Linked DNA regions of Xenopus tropicalis. The protein of the gene in region 4 interacts with the protein of the main gene of each other region in a biochemical or structural test. Links are inferred from orthologs where the notes say so. Each region holds a gene or a part of one and is shown on either strand. Other genes may lie near its edges.

Region 1 (6,625 bases), on a different chromosome or scaffold from region 4:
GGTACCGGCCCTTACCCGCCTTCTTCTCCAGTGTTTTCTCCTCCACCTCATCAGCAAACATGTCCAGCTCGGCAGGTGGAGCCAAGGTCTTGAGCCTGTACGCCACCTTCTCATATGTGTCCTGGTAGATCTCATACACACCAAGGGCTACCATCTGATCTGCTAGGGATATGAGGAGCTCGAGGGGCTCTGGCCTACTTTCTGCCTCGTTACTTGCTTCCTCCGACCCCGCAGCCACTCTGCTCTGTGCAGTTTCCTCTTGGCCATTATCCCGCACCCTGTCTCTTAGGGACTCCTGACCTTGCTCATCCTTTCTCTCTTGCCTTGAATCCGTTTCACCTTTACCCTCATCCATTTTAGAATCTGTATTATCTTCCTGCTCTCTGTCTCCGTCAGACTTAGTCCCTCTCTTCTTTCTCCTGCCTTGGGGGGTCTTCTGCTGCCTTGCTCTCTGGCCCCCAGTTGCCTTTTTGCCTCCTGTCCCTCCAAGACGCTGGATTCCTTTAGCCACAGTCTCGCCAGGCTGAAGCAGCTGCAAGATTCCCTCCAGTAGCACTTTCTTGCTCAGTGGTGCTCTGCCTTCCTCAGAATCAGAGTCATCATCATCAGCGGTTTCTGTGGGTGCAGTGCGTTCCTTAACTCGGACCTAGGGCAAGAGGATAGGGGTTACTGCTGGTTACTGGGTGCCATTGGTCACGGGCGCACATGTTTAGGTATAAGCAGAAGGGTCCATGTGTGCTGCTTTCATCTTAAAGTGCTTCTTCCCCTACAATATACAATGATCTCTTCTCATCCTGACTGCCCCAGCATCCTCCTCCTATCCTGTCTGGCCAATCACATGAAGAGGTGCCAGTTTCCCTTGGCCAATGCCACTGGTGGGGTGCAAGAACAGATCTGAACATGACGGGATGCTTAGGGCGTCATGAAGAGAAGCGACAGCCTTAAATCTAAAAAGTTGGGAAGCATCTAGGGATGCACCGAATCCACTATTTTGGGTTCAGTCGAACCCCAAAAGTCTCTGTAAATGATTTGGCCAAATACTGAACTGAATCCTTATTTGCATGTGCAAATTAAGCTACGGAACAGTTAAATGAAGCGCGCGCTTAATTTTTTACTTCTGTGTTCATGTGATTTTACAGATTCTGCAGAATCTTGCCTGAATCCCAAACTGAATACTGGGTTCAGTGCATTCCAAGAGGCATCTAATGTGACTGTGTTCATACAGTGCCCAACTTGATTCTTGGATTGTAATCACCCTGTTCCACCTGAAGGGACTCAAATTCTGCTATTACGTTTCATGTTCTCCCAATTCATATTCACTCACCCAGTCTATATTATCAAGCCAGTGGTCCCGAATCTGAGCTTCTTTACGCAAAAAATAGTTGCCCTCAGAGTCAAAATGCCCTTCCTCCATTTCCTCCTTCAGGTTAAAAGGAGTAATCGGAACACCACCCTCCGACTCCAGAGTAGCGTTTTCTTGTCCTGCAGAGGAAGAAGAGCAAAGACAAATTTAAGACAAATTTAAGTCAAATTTAAGGGGCTGTTCCTGCTGAATTGTGCTTAGTACAGGGGAATCCCTATGCTGCTATAGTTTTATGGTATCTCTCTGTACTGGCTATGAGCAAACTTAGGGGGCTGTTCCTGCTGAATTGTGCTTAGTACAGGGGAATCCCTATGCTGCCATAGTTTTATGGCATCTCTCTGTACAGGCTATGAGCAAACTTAGGGGGCTGTTCCTGCTGAATTGTGCTTAGTACAGGGGAATCCCTATGCTGCCATAGTTTTATGGCATCTCTCTGTACAGGCTATGAGCAAACTTAGGGGGCTGTTCCTGCTGAATTGTGCTTAGTACAGGGGAATCCCTATGCTGCCATAGTTTTATGGTATCTCTCTGTACAGGCTATGAGCAAACTTAGGGGGCTGTTCCTGCTGAATTGTGCTTAGTACAGGGGAATCCCTATGCTGCCATAGTTTTATGGTATCTGTCAGCATAACATTTGCTTTGCTCATAGCCTGTACAAAGACTTTACTATAATATCCAGTATGAAGTAGTCCGCAAAATGGCCATGATCTTCTTTTGTAGATGACTGCCCCAAGCCACCCCCAGCTGATGGGTACTTACTGCAGCAGACACCCTGATATGACTTTAGGTGACTGGGAGTGGAGAGCCCATTGTGCCCAAGTTATGCTGAGCTGGAGGAAGTGCCATCTTTTGATAGGTTGCAGTAGAGTTTAAAATTGCAGTTCAGCCTATGGAATTACTGGCCTGCCTCCAGCTCAGCATAAGCAAAGCAAGCAGCACTGCTCCTGCAGCTCACTCCCTCATCATTACTGTGGGTACCAATACACTAGGGTGGCCTGGGGGCAACTTATGCATAGGATGTTTCAGTACCAGGTATCTTTAGCTACCCTCTCCCAAACATCCTTATATTATGCGTCCGCTTGTTTCTTGTAAAGGGGTTTATAATACTACAAGAGGCACAAAGCGGGCACCCTGCTATGGAATCTCACCTTCAACATCCTCGGGGGCTAATATGTCATACTTTGCAGAACGTCCATCACTGGTTTCTTCCTCATCATCTTCCTCATCGCTGTCCAGAGAATGTTTCCCTTTAAATCGACTTCCTGGGCCTCCCACTACATCCGGGAGCTTCAATAAAGGGGTGAGACCGTGTCAGACATGCACATTGGCTAATGCAGACCGTCTATATAATGGCGTCTTTATAAAGGTTACTGGGATCAGTTTGGAAAAAGAAAAGCGACATGGTGCAATTCGGCTCTGCTTCTTAACTTACCCTTTTTTTTTTCTGCTCATCATCGTCGTCTTCAGCCCCATCCACAAATGTGACCTTCCTTTTAGACATCCTATAGAAAAGGCAACAGGCACTATTAATAGGGATGCATTAAATACAGGATTTGGCCAGTGCCTGGCCAAACCGAATCCCTAAAGTCACATGACTTTTCATCGCATGATAGCGGAAAGGAGGAGTTCTCTTTAGCCCCTTTGTACCAGGATTCAGCGAATCTTTCACAAAAGAATTCAGGGTTCAACTGAATCCCAAAACAGTGGAGTCGGTGCATCCCTATGAAAGACTACAGGTATTGGACCTCTTATCTGGAAACCCATTAGAACAGAACAATCCTATTGGGTTTATTTAATGGTTAAATGATTCCCTTTTCTCTGTAATAATAAAACAGTACCTGTACTTGATCCCAACTAAGATATAATTACCCCTTATTGGGGGCAGAACAGCCCTATTGGGTTTATTTAATGGTTAAATGATTCCCTTTTCTCTGTAATAATAAAACAGTACCTGTACTTGATCCCAACTAAGATATAATTACCCCTTATTGGGGGCAGAACAGCCCTATTGGGTTTATTTCATGGTTAAATGATTCCTTTTTCTCTGTAATAATAAAACAGTACCTGTACTTGATCCCAACTAAGATATAATTACCCCTTATTGGGGCAGAACAGCCCTATTGGGTTTATTTAATGGTTAAATGATTCCCTTTTCTCTGTAATAATAAAACAGTACCTGTACTTGATCCCAACTAAGATATAATTACCCCTTATTGGGGCAGAACAGCCCTATTGGGTTTATGTCATGGTTAAATGATTCCCTTTTCTCTGTAATAATAAAACAGTACCTGTACTTGATCCCAACTAAGATATAATTACCCCTTATTGGGTTAAGAGACCCTGTGAGTAGAAGGGAACTTGTATACAAAATAAAGGGGGGGAAAGTCTAAAACCAGGAAAATGCAAGAAAACCGCTCGGTGTGAGGAAACATGAGGGGAAGAGAGATCCCTGCAGGTTCCTCAGTATAACCCTGTTTATAACATAAATAACGGAGAGGGGATTCGTATCAAACAGGCCCCGCCCCCAGGGCCGACCTGCCGTAAATAAGGGCCGGTGTTTTGCAACTTTAAAGGCCTCACAAGTTCCCAGATCCCCTTAGTTCTAGCGCAGCTCGGTAAGTATCCAACAAACCTTTCGTTTTTCGGAAGCACTCGTCGAGACGCGGGTGTCGCAGCCGGATGACGCGCAGGAAGTGATGAAGTCAAACCGGAAGTAGGGCAAATGAAGTTGTATCGCTTTGAAATATGACTGTATAGCTGCTGCAGGTCACAAAGTAGTCGTCTTGCAGGGGATGCTGGGACTTGTAGTTGTCACTGGTGCATCCCACTGACTTATTAATGCACAATTTAAGTTAAAGCACCAGTAATAACATTAAAAAATAATTGTCATTTATTGCCACTGGTTATTAAAATGGGATTGGGTTACAGGGCTTTTTCCTGATAGTTATAGGTTTTATAACCAGAGAGAGGTCATTTAGCCAGGAATGGAAGGGCCCCAGGAGAGAAAGTAAATACATTGTTGGTCGCTTTTATCAATGAATCAGACATGGTTACATACCTCCCAACATTTTGAAACTGAAAACAGGGACAAAAATAAACGCTGCGTGCAACCACACCCCCTAAATACCACTCCCATTTGACTAAATTTACTTATTACATTTGTTATTTATTATTATTATTAACATTTATTTATAAAGCGCCAACATATCCCGCAGCGCTGTACAATAAGTGGGTTTCATACATTGGGCATACAGAGTAACATATAAAGCAATCAGTAACCGATACAGGAGGGGAAGGGAGCCCTGCCCAAAAGAGCTTACAATCTACAAGGAGTAACATATAAAGCAATCAGTAACCGATACAGGAGGGGAAGAGGGCCCTGCCCAAAAGAGCTTACAATCTACAAGGAGTAACATATAAAGCAATCAGTAACCGATACAGGAGGGGAAGAGGGCCCTGCCCAAAAGAGCTTACAATCTACAAGGAGTAACATATAAAGCAATCAACCGATACAAGAGGGGAAGAGAGCCCTGCCCAAAAGAGCTTACAATCTACAAGGAGTAACATATAAAGCAATCAATAACCGATACAAGAGGGGAAGGGAGCCCTGCCCAAAAGAGCTTACACTCTACAAGGAGTAACATATAAAGCAATCAATAACCAATACAGGAGGGGAAGAGGGCCCTGCCCAAAAGAGCTTACACTCTACAAGGAGTAACATATAAAGCAATCAATAACCGATACAAGAGGTGAAGGGAGCCCTGCCCAAAAGAGCTTACACTCTACAAGGAGTAACATATAAAGCAATCAATAACCAATACAGGAGGGGAAGGGAGCCCTGCCCAAAAGAGCTTACAATCTACAAGGAGTAACATATACAGTGGTGTGAAAAACTATTTGCCCCCTTCCTGATTTCTTATTCTTTTGCATGTTTGTCACACAATATGTTTCTGATCATCAAACACATTTAACTATTAGTCAAAGATAACACAAGTAAACACAAAATGCAGTTTTTAAATGAGGGTTTTTATTATTTAGGGAGAAAAAAAATCCAAACCTCCATGGCCCTGTGTGAAAAAGTAATTGCCCCCTGAACCTAATAACTGGTTGGGCCACCCTTAGCAGCAATAACTGCAATCAAGCGTTTGCGATAACTTGCAACGAGTCTTTTACAGCGCTCTGGAGGAATTTTGGCCCACTCATCTTTGCAGAATTGTTGTAATTCAGCTTTATTTGAGGGTTTTCTAGCATGAACCGCCTTTTTAAGGTCATGCCACAACATCTCAATAGGATTCAGGTCAGGACTTTGACTAGGCCACTCCAAAGTCTTCATTTTGTTTTTCTTCAGCCATTCAGAGGTGGATTTGCTGGTGTGTTTTGGGTCATTGTCCTGCTGCAGCACCCAAGATCGCTTCAGCTTGAGTTGACGAACAGATGGCCGGACATTCTCCTTCAGGATTTTTTGGTAGACAGTAGAATTCATGGTTCCATCTATCACAGCAAGCCTTCCAGGTCCTGAAGAAGCAAAACAACCCCAGACCATCACACTACCACCACCATATTTTACTGTTGGTATGATGTTCTTTTTCTGAAATGCTGTGTTACTTTTACGCCAGATGTAACGGGACACGCACCTTCCAAAAAGTTCAACTTTTGTCTCGTCTGTCCACAAGATATTGATCTTGGCAATCATTGAGATGTTTTTTAGCAAAATTGAGACGAGCCATAATGTTCTTTTTGCTTAAAAGTGGTTTGCGCCTTGGAAATCTGCCATGCAGGCCGTTTTTACCCAGTCTCTTTCTTATGGTGGAGTCGTGAACACTGACCTTAATTGAGGCAAGTGAGGCCTGCAGTTCTTTAGATGTTGTCCTGGGGTCTTTTGTGGCCTCTCGGATTAGTTGTCTCTGCGCTCTTGGGGTAATTTTGGTCGGCCGGCCACTCCTGGGAAGGTTCACCACTGTTCCATGTTTTTGCCATTTGTGGATAATGGCTCTCACTGTGGTTCGCTGGAGTCCCAAAGCTTTAGAAATGGCTTTATAACCTTTACCAGACTGATAGATCTCAATTACTTTTGTTCTCATTTGTTCCTGAATTTCTTTGGATCTTGGCATGATGTCTAGCTTTTGAGGTGCTTTTGGTCTACTTCTCTGTGTCAGGTACCTCCTATTTAAGTGATTTCTTGATTGAAACAGGTGTGGCAGTAATCAGGCCTGGGGGTGACTACAGAAATTGATATTGAAATTGAAAATTGAAATTGATAAA
Region 2 (6,463 bases), on a different chromosome or scaffold from region 4:
CCTGCTATCCCACAGCCCCAGTCCCTTCCCAGAGGCTATTATCCCCCCACTGCTACTATAGGCACCATCTCTCCCTACTATACCTGCTATCCCACAGCCACAGTCCCTTCCCAGAGGCTATTATCCCCCCACTGCTACTATAGGCACCATCTCTCCCTACTATACCTGCTATCCCACAGCCCCAGTCCCTTCCCAGAGGCTATTATCCCACTGCTACTATAGGCACCATCTCTCCCTACTATACCTGCTATCCCACAGCCACAGTCCCTTCCCAGAGGCTACTTAAAAGGTGCTGTTACCCTGTTGCAAGGTCAATAAAAAAATGTATGGTATGTCACGGATATTTCACAAACTCGACCTACACAAATGTTGCATTTTTGCAGCCCCCCTTTCCCAGGATTGAGGGCAGCCCCTGCTAGGGATCCCTACAGAGAGCAGTAAGCAATGCTAACACCAGCGCAGAAGACAAAGTGGTACACACGTCCATGCCGAGGCAGAAATACGGGCTCTATTCCAATAAATAGTGAAACCTCCGAAGTTGCACCTGACAATCCTGTTTTTCCTGTAAAACCTACAAAATCTCAAGTTTTTAAATGTTCAGGAAACCCCCCAACACACATGTTCATATCTGTGTCCCAAACCCTGCAAAACTGTGAAATGCGTTGACACATTAAGAAAGATCCATAAGTGACTTTTTTCCTCCCGCAAAACAAAATGTCATTTCAGCTCTTTGGGAAAGAATGCGGGAATGAAAGGGCCCCTGCTTTACAAATGATTTAAGTCTTGTTACACAACAGTCTCCCCCTCTGAATAATGACACTTGGTATAATCTCTTTTCAGCTCTAACAAGCCACTCTCTATAGCACCCATTCCTATTATAAGCACATCCCTTTCATGGAAACAACACCTTGCCCCGGACTTTCTCTTCCCTAATGCGGCGACTCCAAATAACGCAATGTAAGAGGGTTTAACCCCTGCACCCCTGAAACCTGCTAAATCCCTGGAAGGCACAGTGCTGGCGCTCTTATTTGTGCATTTAAATCCCATATAGAATTTCTCATTTCTTTCCAAGAAGTTTTTGGCTTCCTCCCCCAGCACTCCACCATAGATTTCTATTATCTAAAGGTTTGGCCAAGATCAGAAAATAGCCCTAATCTGCATTTTAATTGAGATTCCACAGAAGGGGAGACCGTGCCTCAATCCCTACTTATCAAGGGGCTTTAGTGCAACCCCCATTAAACCCGCACAATGAGCGGGGGCACCATGTACACTCTCATATAAAGCCAAGGAATTCAGCCTCCCTCTTGGCCACGGATTCCCCCATTGTATGCACCCCAGATTCCAGCACACAATGTACATTTAATGAGGGCTCCACAATGCACTTTTTCACACTTAACACATCCAGTACGGAGATTTGTAAAAGGGTTGTTATCTTTTTAGACCAAGCTCCGACACCAAGGTACAATGGAGCTTCACAACAAAATGCAAACACCAACGCACAGTCCCAAGAGCAGTTGGCACACAGGGATTTTACATGCAGCCCCTGGAACCTTTACATTATAGATGGATTTTTTCCCCCTTTACAAACAGCCTTCAAGTCAGTTCCTTGATTAACACCAGATACCACGCTGACTGGGTTAGGAATTCACGGCCGGTGGGACAAAGGAATGTTTTGCAAGGATTTTTTTTATAATGATAAAGAAAACCTGAATTTTCCAAAATGTGAAGCTTTTGTTGGGCTGCGTTCAGGGGCCTGTAATGCGTCTGTGGCTTTGCCCGCTGTGTGGGTGCTAAACACCTAACAGGCCTCTCTCACGGGTAGAATCCTAGCCCCTTTCTTCCTTGCCCGATGCAGACTATAAACCTGTCATTAATGGATCGGCAGTTCGTTTAACCTGTAGGAAGCACCCCCCCCAACCCTGATGTTGCCGAGTTTTGCGTAGAAAATAAAGGAGGACAAATAAAGAGAATTAAAAGCCGAAGGGGCTGCTGTGGGGCAGGCAATATTAGGCTCAGCAGGAGGAGAACATGTAAAATATTCATGCAAATATCCAAAATATGAGGACCTGGGGGTGCATTATTGCCCCCAGGACATTTTACATAAAACAGTCTTTACAAGATAGCGTTAGTACATGAATGCAAACACAGACATAGCGAGGGTACATACACACTACTACTCAGACTGTCCGTGCCCCTTGTACTGGGCCCCTCGAGCATCTTAGCACCTAAACAGTCCTGTCAAACCCTAGGGCAAAGGCACGCAATGGATCCTGCATTGGTTCCATGACCCTTTACTTGTCCAGCCCTACGTATGTACACAGTGGAAATGTAAATGTGGCTTGTGGCTCTGCTCTATGCATATACATAGCAACCGGTCCATCAGACCCGGTGGGTTCCAGCATTCGTGCCCATTGTGATACATAACTGTACAAAGAAAGACCCTATTGTTTAGCGAGCATTTAGGAGCAATCAGGAGTCGCACTCCCCTACTGCACAAGGGGTACCCACGGGTATAACATTGTAACCTGTAAAAGCAAATCCACATTCTGCAATGTTGTTTGTCCAGCCTGCAGCCCTCCAGCTGATCTGGAACTCCCAGAATTCCCCAGTAAGCTATAAGCATCAGATAATAGTGAGAGTGGCATTTAGACTGTCTGGTCATGACCAAGGGCCTATGTTTATATGTTACATTCATAAACCTACTTGGGGCAAAGCATGCTTTGTTGCATACCATAATGCAGGCCGCAGTGGCCCTCCATATTATTCACATTTATTTATAAAGCGCCAACATATTCCGCAGCGCTGAACAATAAGTGGGTTCCATACATTGGACATACAGAGTAACATATAAAGCAATCAATAACCGATACAGGAGGTGAAGAGAGCCCTGCCCAAAAGAGCTTACAATCTACAAGGAGAAAGGGTTGAGACACAAGGTGTTGTTCAACTGCAACAGGCTTTGGGCAGTCAAAAGCCGCTCACTTGTAGGCTGCCCAATGGCTGACCATTATCACCCAAGTTTGACCATTAATTACCAGCTTTTCTTAGTTTGGGAAATATGATTGCTTTGATCCCATTTGTCTATAACAATTATAATAACACATAGACATAGCGCCTTCTACAACAACTTTCCAACATCAATCCTGGGAGCTACCACACAGCTTGCATGGCAGGGGTAAAATTAAATATTATCCACTCACTCCAATAATATAGCGCCTCATAGTGGCCAAACATGCCAGAAAGCTTTAATATTTAAACCCAATTTCTTGTAGGCACTTGAGTACCATTCACTTCAGCAATAAATACAAGCTGGGCAAAAGTCCATGTTTTTCAAAATTCATAACGATCTAAAGCTGTTTTAAATGTTCTAAAACACCAACCCACATTATCATGCATTGCTCCCATAAATAAAGACCATAAAGTAAAATATGCAACAAACATCACCCTGCAGCGGTTTTGTGCGGCAAAGCGAATTTAACGCATTGCGCTTCCAATTACGCACAGCGATTTCCTCATTACCTGATTAAAGCAAGGAGTTTTAGACAAGTTTAACCAATGACATGACACAGGTATATCCCCTGTGGGGGTCTGTACCCCAGTTCTATTAGGCTGAGAAGCCCCTCCTAGAGTTACAACGTTGCGGGTTTGTTGGCATTACCTGGAGAGATGGCGGTGTAAGAAAATCCCCTCAGCCCTGCATCAGGCGTGTGCCTGGCAAGACTCCGTGTGTCCCAGGGGACAGATTCCCAAGTCCCGTTTCAGCCAATGAGAAATACGTATCCCTCCGAGCGCAGGGTGAGCGAGTCCCGATCCCGACTCAGAGCCCGGTAACCAGCAGCAGCCAAAGCCAGTGAGGTTCCAAAGAGGGGAACAGGCAGAATCCCCTTTGCAGGGTGAATGAGTAAGTTCTCTGTGATTTCTTTTCTCTCTGAGTGAATCACCAATCCCCTGATAGTCCCACAGTGATGAATCCCGCAAGGTTCAGTGCATAGGAATCCCGGTAAGTGCTATCCAGGCAAGCCAAGCCCTTCCAGGCAGCAGTGCAGCCACAAACAATAAGGTAATAGGTAGGGAAAGTTCCCAAAAGTGGATGTGTGAGAGGTGCAACCCAGTGTAGATCCCGTGTGTGAGGGGCAATGGAAAGTCTGTGTGACTTTTCCCTCCCTCCCCCTCACTCCTCATCCTCACTCCCAGCCCCTTCCTCCTCCCTGAGTCACTCCCCTCTGTCTGGAACCTGAGCCTTCATCCCTCCCTTCATCCAATGCTGGAGCAGCTCCTCTCCCCTGGCCCAGTCTCCCTTCCCCAAGCCCTGCTGGCCCTCCCCCTGTGCCTGCCCCACACTTTGGCATACATCACTGCACAGACTGGGGAAGGTTTGTTTGTATTGGAATTACTATGCTATGTGCGCTCTCTTTCTCTCCCATTTTCCATCTCCTTCTCCTAATATTTATCTTCTCTTCATACCCCCCTCATCATTAAACAAACAAAAAAAAAATTAAGATCACCGGTGAGGTCACAGTATTTTAGTGATGTCATACTGTGTACTTGCATCGCCATTGGGCAATAGGGTTGGCAATGTTAACAAGAGAAAAATAATCTTCTACTGCCTAATTATAAATATATTATAAGTAATATTTTTATGGCGCTACTAATTATATTCAGCTATACAAAGTAGAAAATAAACCTCTGTGCCAAAGAGCTTACAATCCTGTAACTGTCACTGCTATAGGGAGGCTGGAAGGTTCTATAGGTTCTACTGAATAGGTGATTGGTAAAAAGTGCTTTGAAAGGGTACAGATTGCAGCACTCAGGCTCAGACTGGCAATCTGTGGATTCTGCAAATGCCAGCTATATAAAGTAAGCCTCTGTACCAAAGAACTTACAATCTAAAATCCTGTCACTGTCGAAGGGAGGCTGGAAAGTTCTGCTGTATAGATGATTAGTGTCTTGAAAAGGTACAAATAGGGACACTCGGGCCCCGACTGGCAATCTGTGGGTCCTGGCAAATGCCAGCTATATAAAGTAAGAGTAAGCCTCTGCACCAAAGAACTTACAATCTAAAATACAGTCATTGTCAAAGGAAGGCTGGAAAGTTCTACTGTACAGATAATTTGTGTCTTGAAAGGGTACAAATATGTGTGTATGTATGTATATCTTTATTTATAAAACGCTACTTATGTACGCAGCGCTGTACAGTAGAATAGATTAATACAAACAGGGTGTTAATAAGATAATAGATAAATACAAAGTATAATAATAAATACAGATAAATACAGCAGCAATAAGTTGAGAGTCGAGGATACAAGAGGAAGGAGGTCCCTGCCCCGTAGAGCTTACAATCTATATAAATAGTGACACTCAGGCCCGGACTGGCAATCTGTGGGTTCTGGCAAATGCCAGAGGGGCTGCTGTAAGATGCCATAGACACTCACTATTTATTGGGCTAGTGGGGGGCTGTTTGGGCTTCTCTGTACATGAAATACCAGGGCCTATTTTGACTCCCAGACACTGTCCCTTACATAGTGGGGGTCACAAGGAGCAGCAGGTACAGGTAGGAAGAGTTGGCAGTTAGTAGGCACAGCAGAGCATGATGGACACAAGACAAACACTAAGTCCAAAAAAACACATGCGCCATAAGCCCCATTTATTAGTTGGCATCAAGATTACACGGGCATCATGGTGGTACCAGGTTATTACCTGCATGGAGTTTGTATGTTTTCCCTGTGCTGACGTGGAGTTTTTCTAGATAAAAATGACCATAGCGTATGTGAAAGTTATACATACATTAGATTGTAAGCTCCAGATCTGTGAATATGTCCGTTATACGTACATTAGATTGTAAGCTCTTGATCTGTGAATATGTCCGTTATACATACATTAGATTGTAAGCTCTTGATCTGTGAATATGTCAGTTATACGTACATTAGATTGTAAGCTCTAGATCTGTGAATATGTCAGTTATACGTACATTAGATTGTAAGCTCTAGATCTGTGAATATGTCCGTTATACATACATTAGATTGTAAGCTCTAGATCTGTGAATATGTCGGTTCTATATACACAAAGGATAGTCATTTGGGTAAGAGTGCATTTCAGCTCTGAGGCTATGGGACATAATGCCCTGAAACTGGAGGCTTCGGTGCCGCAGCAGAGAAAAGGTGGAACTGTTTGTAACATTTGGAAGAGAAGGGTAAGTGGCCCAGACTGCCCCAATTGACTAATAATAAACAGAGGCAGGAAGGGGAGTTGCCATAGCATTTATTTATCTTGGGACCCAACCAAGTCATTTCGGAGGGACACATAGTCCGTTCCTGCTCCACGCCAGATCTGTCGCGATTATCCCATTATCCTATTATCCCACCAGCCAATCACAGGAAGAGATGTTTAGTAAAGTAAAGTATTGCTGGATAAATAATGATACATATTATTAAAATGTGTATTGGAATCGGCTGGTGATGTCTCC
Region 3 (6,376 bases), on a different chromosome or scaffold from region 4:
GTAAAGGGGCAAATCAAGCAGTACTGACACACCACTGAAGCATCCTGTAGGTATCCCTCAGTATCTAACATGGGTGCAGCTTTACCACCTTGTGCCCTGTGCAGGTAATGGCATTGTCAGACTGAGCCTAGTAGACTCAACCAGAGAACCTGACATTATGCGCCCACCCACACAACAATTAGATGGAGACAGGGCTGAATGTAATAGGCATATAGTGGAAATAAGGAAGGGCTGCTGGGAATTGTCTTGGCCGAGGCCCACTTGGGCTGAGGACTACCAGGAGACCCTCTACTACTCTGACAGGGCAGTCCATCCTTTATTATACCAAATACACAAGCTGGTCCACATAGCTGAGTGAAAAATGATGCAAAGACATATGTCTTGGTGCTCTATTTAAAAACAGGGTGCAAGTTTTTTATGTTGTGAATGCTGCCTACATACCACAGCCTGCAAATATCAACACTGTAATATGTTAGGTATTATTATAATTATAATAATTATATTATATATAATATATGATTACCCCCATTTTAAGTTTTTCAGGGGACCAGAAACAAATGGTGCAAAATCTGGGAAAATGTGTTATATATTAGTGGGGTTACAAAACAATGGTGTAAAATGCAGGAAAACTTAAAATCAGGGGAATTAAAATTGAGTTTTTACTGTATATATAATATATATTGCCTAGAATATGCTTCATGTGATTACTAAAGTCCTAATATTAAGGCACCAGTATCCCCAACATGTTTTCTGGTGGTACCTTTAGTATTAGTTTGGTCTGTTCGTATACTTAAACAGAGTTCCTTTTGGTGAAATATTAGACATAAGCAAAGCTCCATACAAATAGCAGCCGCCTAACAATCTGTTATATCACAAATGACAATATTCTTTTTGCCTTGTTGGAAATGAGGTATGTGTACTGTTTATGAACACATTAAGTAATGAGGATATAGCCCATCGTGCTTTTGCTTGATGAAAGGTAATACAGAGAAAGTGCACAGAACTGGAAATAACACTCCAGTTGCAACATTTTCACAGTAAAGGTTGAGCTGATTAATAATGCAATAAATGCAATGTATAATAGTATTTGCTATGAGCTCTAAATGTCAATGAACAATCTGCCAAATAGATTGTTTCTTGGAAAACAAATGGCCTTGCAGCAGAAAAAGACACAATCGGCGCACAATCAATCTATATTTACTGTGCTGGAAAAGATGCTGTTTTTGTCCTTTAGAGATGGGCGGATAGTACTTTAGCAATTAAATGGCATATGGAACAGAGTGGGATGCCCATAATGTCTGATAATTAAGAAGATGCTCTAAGTTTTTTGGATCTGAAGGTCTCTTTTCCAGGCAGTATTTCCTTTGGCAAAGCTAATATAATCCAAAACAGCAGAATTCATTGCAGAGAGGAGTGACTTATCTGTCATATGATTGGAATTAACATCCTCTATACTTGGGTTAAATCCAGATGCAATTTAATACAAATGGCTGGGAAAGTTTGCAGATCTACAAGTGCATCTCAAAGCCATGAAATTTGTATTTATTGACTAAATGGCAACAGTATACAACATTACAAAGGGGTAGTAAACCCCCTTTTCAACATATGTTCAATGAATAGGGCTTTAATCAAAAAGTCAAAAGTATGGTAACAGGAGTCTTGGTTGGATCGAACAGAAAGGGACTGACCAATACTGCTTTGAATGTTAAGTGAATTTACAAACAAATGTTCAGTAGATTTGAAAGATGCTAAGAATTAAATTAGCTTTCCTCATGCGTAATTTTATATGTCAGTTTACAACCCCTTTATGTAGTATGGACTGATCTTGCCAAAAAACTGCATCTGTTTACTCCAAATTACTCCAAATTGCCATATTTTCCCATTGTACTCTAGAGATATGGTAATTTGTAGCTTTGCGAATCTGTAACGCACACTGTAACTTTGTTTATACATGACAATATTGTGGGCTACATTACTGGTCTGAGCTTTACTTAGAAAGTGCCAACTGTGTGGTAGCCCTGTACTTAACAATAGCCATAGTGCTTAGCAAGTAAATACAACCTGAGGGCCCAAAACAATTGAGTCTCGGTACCCTATTATATATGTCCAACTAAGTTTCAGTCCCAACTCATTTGGTGTAAGCAAGGTAACACTGTATCCCTGAGCTGATACCTTTCCCAACAGCAGTGGGGCGATTTAGTTCAGTCAGCTGCACCCTCATATTGTTTGTGTATTAATTTGTGAAATGGGCTCCAATAACATAATGTTTCAAAATGGCCTCTCCAAATCACAAAATCTTACTATGTGCAACTGTGATGTGGTTAATCTATTTATCTTGCTAATTCTATGTATTGTTTTGTTTTAGATCAAAATACATAGATGACATTAGGGACAGGTCACCATAAATACACCACATTTACCAACCTGCATCTCTCCATCATTGTTGAAGTACACTTCCTAGCTATCTAGGAATGCTGGGAATTGTAGTTTAATGATAAATAAATGGCTGTTGCTTGGATAAAGCTGAAGCAAAATAAGATATACTTTCTTCCAAACCATCTGTCTTAAAAATAAAACTCTGCCAGAGACTAATATATATATATATATACAGGTATAGAACCCATTATCCAGAATGCTCGGGACCAAGGGTATTCTGGATAAGGGGTCTTTCCGTAATTTGGATCTCCATATCTACTAAAAAATCTATAAAACATTAATTAAACCCAATAGAATTGTTTTGCATCCAATAAGGATTAATTATATCTTAGTTGGGATCAATTACAAGGCACTGTTTTATTATTATAGAGAAAAAGGAAATCAGTTTTAAAATTCTGAATCATTTGATTAAAATGGAGTCTATGGGAGATGAGCTTTCCATAATTCGGAGCTTTCTGGATAACGGGTTTCCAGATAACGGATCCCATACCTGTATTATATTATATATATTATACTATAAGGTTCTTGTATTGTTCTCTCTGCCATGTGTAATTCTCCAGCAGTTTATCCGGGTAGGTGTGTCTTTGTGTTGAGGTTTTGCTATTTGTCCCCTGAAGAATAAAGCCTTGCTTAAATGATCCCTGTGCCGACACTCTCCTATTTACAATAAGATTCTGTAAAAGGCAATGGCTGTTGCCTGTTTAATTCCTCCTTACAGAGACTTTTAAAGAACTAGGAATGATATTCAGCCAATGACAGTGCATAACTGGAAGAGTAAGAATATTATATTTGCTTTTTAGCTTTTTTTCAGTAAAGAAAACCATTTCTTTGTCTGGAATATACATTTGCATTTGGTAGCAGTGTGCAGATATCCTAAGGTATCCATATATGCACACCATGATTACATTTGCAACTGGAAGATATCGCTACCACCAGGCAACTAGCCTAGGGAGAGAAAACTGCTGCCCTCCAGGTGCTGTGAACTAAAGCTCCCAGAATCCCTTCAACAGCAATAATGCTGGGAGCTGCACCAGAGCTGGGGCCCCCGTTTCGATTTCCTGGTCTCAAATCACTATTGCTATCAACTGTTTGAGAGAGAGAGAGAGAGATACATAACAGAGATGCATAACACAAGCAGTAAGGTTTCATAGCATATCATTTGGTGATTGCGCTACATACCAGCTCCAGCAGGATATGATACTGTATATTTTGCACACACAACTCCACTTAGTTAAATATATATCCAAATATATCCCTTTGCTTAACTCTCTCCATGCACCTGCTATTCTGCCTCCCTTTGGTACAGCCCTGTGTGGGCTACAACATGCGGCACATTGCTGAGAGCCCGGCAGCTGATGGAGCCAGTGGAGCCAATGCAGATGGGAGCTGTCCGTGCGCTAGAGTGCTGAAATGCTGCAGCTCCTGCACCCCAGGGATAATGCACACATATGTCCAAATGACATTCAGTAAGGATCACGTACCTGTTACACATTAAATGCTTTCATCTTTCCTAGCATTAGCAGATCTGTCTGCTTCAGCAGAAGCTCTGGCGTGCAGCATTGGGCTCTGTGGGAGAGGTGGAATGGCCAGGAGGCGTTTTCTAAAGAAAAAGAAAAAAAAGGCAGTGAAAGGGTCTTCCGAGCAGAAACTGTCTTGAATACTGCTTAAAATGTAAACCCCACCTCACTACCCTGATTGGTCTGCTTGCTGTGGGGTGTAGCAGAGGTTTAAGCCAGCTGTTCCCTGGGTGCCACGGATTATTACAAACGTCACCATTTGTTTAATATGCAGCTAATTTCCACAAGTCGCCAGTGCAGGGGAGTACAATGAGTAAATACAGATGCACACAGCAATGCTGTTAGTTATTATGGTTTGTAGGGTGAGATTTGTTTTTTCATGTTGTAACTTGGACATGAAACAACTGGAGGGTGAACCCTGCCCTGAAGAGCTTACATTCTTATGAGTGTATTATTCTAGGTAAAAGAAATTTTACTTAGTAGATTAAGAATGTGTTAATGTCCTATATATATTGATAATGGGTGATTGCAGAGGACTTCTTGTTTTTGTGTACAGGTATAGGACCCGTTATCCAGAATGCTCGGGACCAAGGGTATTCCGGATAAGGGGTCTTTCCGTAATTTGGATCTCCATACCTTAAGTCTACTAAAAAATCAATAAAACATTAAATAAACCCAATAGGATTGTTTTGCCTCCAATGAGGATTAATTATATCTTAGTTGGGCTTAACTACAAGGTACTGTTTTATAACTACAGAGAAAAAGGAAATCAGGTTTAAAATTCGGAATTATTTGATTAAAATGGAGTCTATGGGAGACGGGCTTTCCATAATTCGGAGCTTTCTGGATAACGGGTTTCCGGATAAGGGGTCCGATACCTGTATATATATATAATTCTTGTTATATATATATATATATATATATATATATATATATATATATATACAAACACCACACGGATAGGCACTTACGAAAAAAGAGAGATCCATCGCCTGGGTACAGTCCAAAAATAGAGGCATAGATATTCATGGAAAGTCGAACCGCTTCACACAGGACTTATAATCAGCAAAAATATTTATTAAGGCAAAAAAAAAACAAAAATATTTTTTTTCTGATTATAAGTCCTGTGTGAAGCGGTTCGACTTTCCATGAATATATATATATATATATATATATATATACACACACCTATAAGAAGGACCAGCACACCAGGTCACATGAATATCTTCTTTTTATTCACTGTGCGCTGAACTATAGCTCTCACACAGTAATGCGCAACACCTAAAAAGGATAATCAAAAGAGCACACGACTGTCGCAAGTGTCAGTATAAATAACAGCCTTTTTCTATACTGACACTTGTGACAGTCGTGTGCTCTTTTGATTATCCTTTTTAGGTGTTGCGCATTACTGTGTGAGAGCTATAGTTCAGCGTATGTGTCACCCTTTCCCTTTTGTCATGAATCCTGTATTTCCTCCATTCTTTATGCACTTGTATTTTTGTCAATATACTCTTTTCCTCTCTATGTGCCTTTTCTTGATTTTGTTTCAGGGATTGCTGACTCTATTGCCTGTATTATACTTATCTTTATATTCACATTTGCCGTTTTGTGTACACTGGTAGTTTGGGGGGGTGGGTGCTGGCCTGCAACAGAGTGACGTCATTAGTCTAATTTTGGCGCCACATTCTGCTTATCAGGGGGTTTCTTGCGTGTATGTTCACTTTGAGAAAGGCTGAGGTTCCAGCCGAAACGTTAGGTTTTTGTTTGAATAAACTACTCTTTTTTTCTACACTAAGCCCTGTGAGTGCGGCATTCTTCCATTTTTGCTATATATATATATACAGGTATAGGACCTGTTATCCCGAATACTCGGGACCAATAGTATTCCGGATAAGGGGTCTTTCCGTAATTTGGATTTTCATACCTTATTTCTACTAAAAAATCAATAAAACATTAATTAAACCCAATAGGATTGTTCTGCCTCCAATAAGGATTCATCATATCTTAGTTGGGATCAAGTACAAGGTACTGTTTTATTATTAAAGGAAAAAAGAAAACCAGATTTAAAATTCTGAATAATTTGATTAAAATGGAGTCAATGGGAGACAGGCTTTCTGTAATTCGGAGCTTTCGGATAACGGGTTTCCGGATAAGGGATCCCATACCTGTGTATATATATATATATATATATATATATATATATATACAAATGGACAGCACCTTTTCCTTTAAAAGCCACATTGTAATAATAACCATATTAGAAAATATAGAAGAAATAAATGACCAGCACAAAGAGACATTTATTTCTATTGCTTTATTATCACATACACATACAGTACAATTATATACCCAGATTTCACTCAGTTGCATGCAGAGTTTAAATAAATAATAACCATATAAGAAACCATATAAGAAATAAATGA
Region 4 (5,888 bases):
AACCTGAGTGTGGGACAGGAACACATATAGTCTCTATACAGTGCAAGTCATGTAAAGCTGCTTGGCTTACTCGATGTCCCAAACAAAGAATTTGTGCTAATTTCTTTCATATTTAAAAAAAGAAAAAAAATTAATAAATCATATGGGAACACGTGGTTTTTAACCCAGAAATATGATCAGCTTATCCTCAAGTTCTTTCACTAACATGTAATACGCCAGTCACTCCTGATTCCCAGCCCCAGGCCTTCCTTCTCCTGCTTTTACAAGTTTCGCTGAACATGGAGCCTCTGCCTGGACACACGACAAGCCTTTGTTGACAGTACTTTTAATGCCATGCTGTGAGCCATTCACAGCTTACAAGATGGAGCCTACTACCTATGACGTAGTTCAACGACTGCCGTTTCCTAAGTAATTCACATTTCTAGCAGGAAAAGTTGGAATGCAGGGTACAGGTACAAATAAACCATGCCATGGAGAACAGAAGCTTAAAAGCTTTGCTGTCGAGTGGCACATGTACCTGTGTGTTTTGCCATTTCATTGAATTCATAGTTTCTTTTCTACAGTACCTGCCTGTAAATACTAATAAAGAGGAAAGTGCTGCATGATGTGCATGGAGATAATGTAGGTCTCAGCCACTCCCCACTCTGGCTAAAGGTGGCCATGCACGGTAATATACTTGCTTGGTAAGGTTGCCAAACAAGCCACCTTGGGTGGGCGATATTGTGCTAATGCAATTGTTTGGCCTAGGATCACATTACAATGGCCCTAGATCACGTAACAATGACGGGGGCACGAGACGTCAGAGCGAGGACTGCATCAATGAGCCCAATGCGGTCCTCAATCCAACAGAAAAATCAAGCCTGCCTGATGAACATCTGCCTGAATTTTGGCCAGATATCGGTCAGGGAGGCCTGTTGGAGGGCCCCATAAATAGGAAGAAAAGTTGCAGACACCATCTTTGTGCAGACAACTTTGTGCAAGCATACCAGTTCTGATAGCCGCTACTGTGGACGCAAACAGTTGACTGCATATATGTTACACATAGTCATTAGCACAACTACAAAACTGCAAGCGGAAAGAGCTGATAGCCACATCAACTGCATGAGAACAAAAACTGTTGCCGTTGGTTGCCAAACTGTAGAGCTGACCACAACCCGAGGTTGGGAGAGATAAAAGCAACAGCTGTGGGGCATGGGATTAAGGCCAAATAGTTTTAGTGTTATTTTCTATCCTATTTTTCCAAACATTAGTATTGTGACTGTTACAAATACCTCTAACCATTTCAGCAGCTTTGGGCAGGTATTTTAGAAGCTGTAATCAAGATTCAACACCAGAACTCTGACAAGTCACTACAATGATTTGTATATGTGGCTGTGGTGTTTTGAAATGCATTCTTACCTCGGAACCCAGAGCAAATCTTTGACGACTACAATCCCAACAGCCTGCACATTGAGTTTTTCCTCCTCTGAAAGAGGTGTTCTGCCCCCCCAGCTCTCACTAGAAATTTTGTGTATAAGTTCTTGGGCTGGGTCTGGATCCTCACTATCTGTGGAAAATGGGGCACTACTGTAGCTGACCGGAGTGCTTGGCAAACTGGAGGAGGACTTAGCAGTCCCCTGAGGAATGGAAGAATAGAAGGATGACACAGAGCAATAATCGGTAAGAGAGTCTTGGTGGCTGAGAACTTGCATACCACGTTCTAGGCTGTAGATGATGCTGACGTTTGCTGAGCGGGGGCTATTACAGTTTGTAACTGGCAATGCAACAGGAACCACATCTGAACAAGGCTTTACTGTAAACATATCCCTTAGAGGACTGCTATCACCACAGAAGTATCGGGCACAGAGTTGGTAGGCTGCAGCATTATACATGACCAGAAAATTGGTCATATCATCCAATAACCAAACAGTCTCCTCTCTGTTAGTGTCTGTGCTTGTAACCATGGAGATGATGGATGATGGTGCACTAAAGGGTTCCAGTCTTTTTGAAATCTCAAGAGAGGTACAGTCCACTACAAGGACACCAGGTCCATTGCCATACCAGACCTCAGAACATTTATTGCAGATCTCCATGGCCAACACTGGGTGAGGTTTCTGACGTGGGTCATCATCTGTTATCTTGAACATGGAGCGATTAGCTGTGCGGGAACAGATGTAGGAGCAATCACTGCCTGGGATGCCACCACTTACTGGGAACACTGAAATCAGGCTGTCTGAAAGGCCAGCAAATACCAGGCAGTTCCCCTGAATAAAAGAAATATGGTTAATGAACAGTTATTTTTAATCAGCTTGTACTTGAAAAAGAATATAAAATGTCTTAAGAACTAAAATGGAAGAAACATAAAATAAAGATAAGTAGAAAGTAATAGTAGTGTCCATTCTAAAGATGACTATTAAGTCACCAGGATGATACTGGGGTCAGGTTTACCAGTAACCTATATACTTAATCATCGATGCAGGATGAGACCTGAGGTTGAATCAATCTTTTCCGCTTTGCAATTAGTTAACTGCACAGGGAACTCATTTGGGCTTGTCTGATGAAGACTACAGCCTACATATAACACCGTGGAAATATGAGCCAATGATTTGGGCTAGACTACTTTGTAGCCTCTTGGAATGGGCCACATGCACCTGCCCTAAAAAGGCCCCATTATAATCTGCCGCTTGATATTTTGACAATGCAGCAAGGATTGCCATATGTCTTGGATCTCACTATTTATAGATCTAAAACTACTTTATAATTATATATTATAAATATCTCTTAGATCTCTGTACCCCATCAGTACTGTTACACAAGGGGTTTCCAGAATCTGGAATCAGAATACCAGCATAGCATTCTTATTCTGATATTTTGTCTATTTGCAAATTTTTTACTTACTTCTTCTTACTTACTATGTATATTACTCACTTATATATTACTGTTGGACCTGCATCCAGGGGCGATTCTCACCCTGGAGCTGCCCTGAGGCTGTGATGCCACCCCCCAGCGCTTACCTTTCCTGTGCCGGAGGGGGGGCTGCATCTCTCAAATACTACAACATAGCTGCATTGGCTGTCCTCACCTTTTCCATATTCGCTACAAGGAAGCAGGTCACAATGGCAGGGGTGTCTATCACCTTTAGTGCGACACTTAGGGGGCACATGCCCTGCAGACTAAAGATAGATATCTTCTGATCCTGCAGATAAAGATTACATCATGTACTGGGTAAAGTAGATAATTTTCAATTACTTATAATGACAACAATCTGGTTAATCTCATGTAAAATAGGTTCCAAACACACTTTGTTGTATTTTAAACAAAACTGCTTCTTCCTATACAGAGTATCTAATCGTTTCTTGGCATATAAAAAAATATATAAAATAGAACTGTGTCCAGTTACGATGCTTAAACTCCTACATGCTTGGCTTGTACATTGCATTTTCCCACAGAAAACCAGAGATAGGTTACATCAATCTGTTTGTCCTTCCATTGTCACAATAATGTTAAGGCATTTCAAGAATGGGGGCAATAAGACAGTAGTACCATTGTATGGTTGCACAGAATAAATAAGGCACTCTCGTGTACATTAGTCCTAAATAGGTTTCCCTTCCTACCTCTGTTGCAATCCAAAGTGTATTCTGTACCCTTTGCTGGCAAGACATTCTCATCCCGGGGCAGCTCAGAGTCTGCACTTCCACCTGCCCTTTCTCAACATCAACCACGGTATAATTCCTGAAAGAGAGGAGCAAGCTAGTGTCACCAAGCAGAATATTGCAGCTGCAAATTCTTACATGGGGTTTAATGTTCTGTAAGCCAGGTATTCTTAGTTAAATATGAATATTAATGGTGGTAGAAGGTAGAAGATTGGCAAAAAAAAGTGTCAGTCAAACTTCCCAAGATATCAGGCTATTTTTTGTGTGCAAATATTTAAAGCTGGAAATGTATATGACACAGAGTATCTGAAGAAGGACAGAGACTTTAAACACTTTGTGTTTTTGTTTGTAAGAGAAATATTAAGAACATGTTACCATTTAACCTTAAAGTCACTAAAAGTTGTGACCTAGCATAATATGATTTTTGTATGGGATGGTAAGCCAAGCAGTGCCACAGAAATAAAAAATCATAGGATTTCTCTGTATAGAGAACTATAAACACTGTGCCAACATAGATACCGTTCCGTACAAAGTACAAATTATGCAAGATATGTGAAGGCCCTTCAATCACACTGAGAATTTTAGACTAGCAAACAAGCACTGGTGTACATACCTTGATGTCCCTGTTCCTACCCAGAATACAACTGTGCTCTCTGGTTCTCTGGATGAGCAGAATGATTCCTGTATCCCACAAGACAACTGGTACTTAAAAACTGTGAAGCTGGGGTCATTCATACGATGGACAACTGATGAAGCTAAAGGCCGCTATTTTGAATAGAGAATGAAACAGAGTTCACAAAGCAGCCTGAGTTGTTGCTCTTGATTTACATGAATGGAATACTTTCAGTTATAAGAACAGACCAGAGGTTACAACTGATAATGACTTAATGTGTCAGTGAGGCTGTATTCAGAAAACAAATACTACAAGTGAAACATGCACTCAGTAAATACTAAGGCAAATATTGCTGGCTTGTGGAATTGTACCTTTTCAGGCTTCGTGTCCCAACATTCCATCATCAGGTCCTGCAGATGATGGAAGTGAACTTCCTCTGGGCGTCCAAGAACTGGACGAATCCCCTTGGACAGTTTCTTGGAAATCTGCAGCTGGTGCTGGCCCAAAGATGGTCTCTGGCCTGACAATAGCTCATACAGGACCATACCATATGAAAACATATCCACCTACCAGAAAAGAAAAAAAATGGAAGCACTCAACATGGTATAGGCATAATAAGCAGCAGAAGCAAGAAACATTGTGGAGAGGCCACAAAGGCCCGGGCCTAGGGCGGCACAAATTTGGGGGCGGCATGCCGCCCCGCCGCACCACAATCTTAAGCTTTTTCATCCATATGGAGCAGTGGGGACCTCTCCCCCACTGCTCCATTTGCAAATGTTTACACCCTGCATGCACGTTGGGGAGGGGGCGGTGCCGATTGCACGTTCACGCATGCGCATGGGGGGGGTGTGCTGATCGTGCACATGCGTGGAGGGCGACGGACAGGGGCGGCAGGATTACAAATCCGGCCCTGCCTACGGCAGAGACTGAAATAAGCCAGACTGAGCCAATGTTTCATGGTAGGATAAAAAGGCTTGCATTAATATAGGAGAGGAGGAAGGGCTCTCAGCCCTTTAAGCTAGCTACAGTGATATTTGTAAAGAATTCCTTTTTGCTTTTTTAGATATACCTGAAAGCCCAGCTTGAAGCTAAATTAGGGCTAAAACTATGGCTGAATAGTTAAAAAGTCCAAACTGTAACCCTGTCATGAACTAAGGTGGTCCCTGATAAGAGGTTGAACCTCTGTGGGGCTCTTCAACCAAAAACATCTGGCATCCACTGGTTTAATATCTAATAATATCTAATAATGCTAATAGGGCAGCTTGAAAATATACAGGAGGCTAGATGTGCAAGACTAAGTGCAATATTAAAGAAGTGTAACAGAACAGAGCCATGTACAGTACATGTTATTATAACTGCCTTACATAAAAAAAAAGTTATTTATTTGATCAGAAAACAAATATCAATCTCACAGCTGACCCAGTTGACAGTTACCTTTTCATCATACACAATCCGAGGACGGATTTCGGGTGCTTGATATCCTGGGGTGCCTTCCACACCCAGGGCTCCCTCATGGAATGACAGCCGCGAAATGCCATAGTCTGAGAGTTTGATTATCACAGCTTCCTTGACATCCAGGGACCAAACCAGGATGTTATCTGATTTCAGGTCACAAAATATTATATTCTTTTTATGCAGGTAGG

Evidence for each region.
Region 1: the proteins of lrrk1 (region 4) and cd2bp2 form a complex in vitro, tested with the Homo sapiens proteins (2 studies listed by BioGRID and IntAct, with this or other methods). The link is inferred for Xenopus tropicalis from reciprocal best matches to the Homo sapiens genes LRRK1 and CD2BP2.
Region 2: the proteins of lrrk1 (region 4) and fgfr2 form a complex in vitro, tested with the Homo sapiens proteins (2 studies listed by BioGRID and IntAct, with this or other methods). The link is inferred for Xenopus tropicalis from reciprocal best matches to the Homo sapiens genes LRRK1 and FGFR2.
Region 3: the proteins of lrrk1 (region 4) and clvs1 form a complex in vitro, tested with the Homo sapiens proteins (2 studies listed by BioGRID and IntAct, with this or other methods). The link is inferred for Xenopus tropicalis from reciprocal best matches to the Homo sapiens genes LRRK1 and CLVS1.

Annotation. Positions count from the first base shown.
Region 1 is NC_030685.2:13,550,548-13,557,172, forward strand, and holds the start of cd2bp2 (CD2 antigen cytoplasmic tail-binding protein 2), read right to left. Parts: upstream 4,045-6,625; 5' UTR 3,996-4,044; intron 3,980-3,995; exon of another isoform or gene 3,899-3,979; intron 2,866-3,898; 5' UTR 2,865-2,865; coding exon 2,796-2,864; intron 2,651-2,795; coding exon 2,512-2,650; intron 1,483-2,511; coding exon 1,325-1,482; intron 647-1,324; coding exon 16-646; intron 1-15. UniProt on the Homo sapiens protein: Involved in pre-mRNA splicing as component of the U5 snRNP complex that is involved in spliceosome assembly.
Region 2 is NC_030683.2:19,257,194-19,263,656, reverse strand, and holds the start of fgfr2 (fibroblast growth factor receptor 2 precursor), read right to left. Parts: upstream 4,045-6,463; 5' UTR 3,659-4,044; intron 1-3,658. UniProt on the Homo sapiens protein: Tyrosine-protein kinase that acts as a cell-surface receptor for fibroblast growth factors and plays an essential role in the regulation of cell proliferation, differentiation, migration and apoptosis, and in the regulation of embryonic development.
Region 3 is NC_030682.2:117,380,424-117,386,799, reverse strand, and holds the start of clvs1 (clavesin-1), read right to left. Parts: upstream 4,045-6,376; 5' UTR 3,918-4,044; intron 1-3,917.
Region 4 is NC_030679.2:115,751,891-115,757,778, reverse strand, and holds part of lrrk1 (leucine-rich repeat serine/threonine-protein kinase 1), read right to left. Parts: coding exon 5,680-5,888; intron 4,812-5,679; coding exon 4,617-4,811; intron 4,398-4,616; coding exon 4,246-4,397; intron 3,712-4,245; coding exon 3,594-3,711; intron 3,176-3,593; coding exon 3,062-3,175; intron 2,244-3,061; coding exon 1,399-2,243; intron 1-1,398.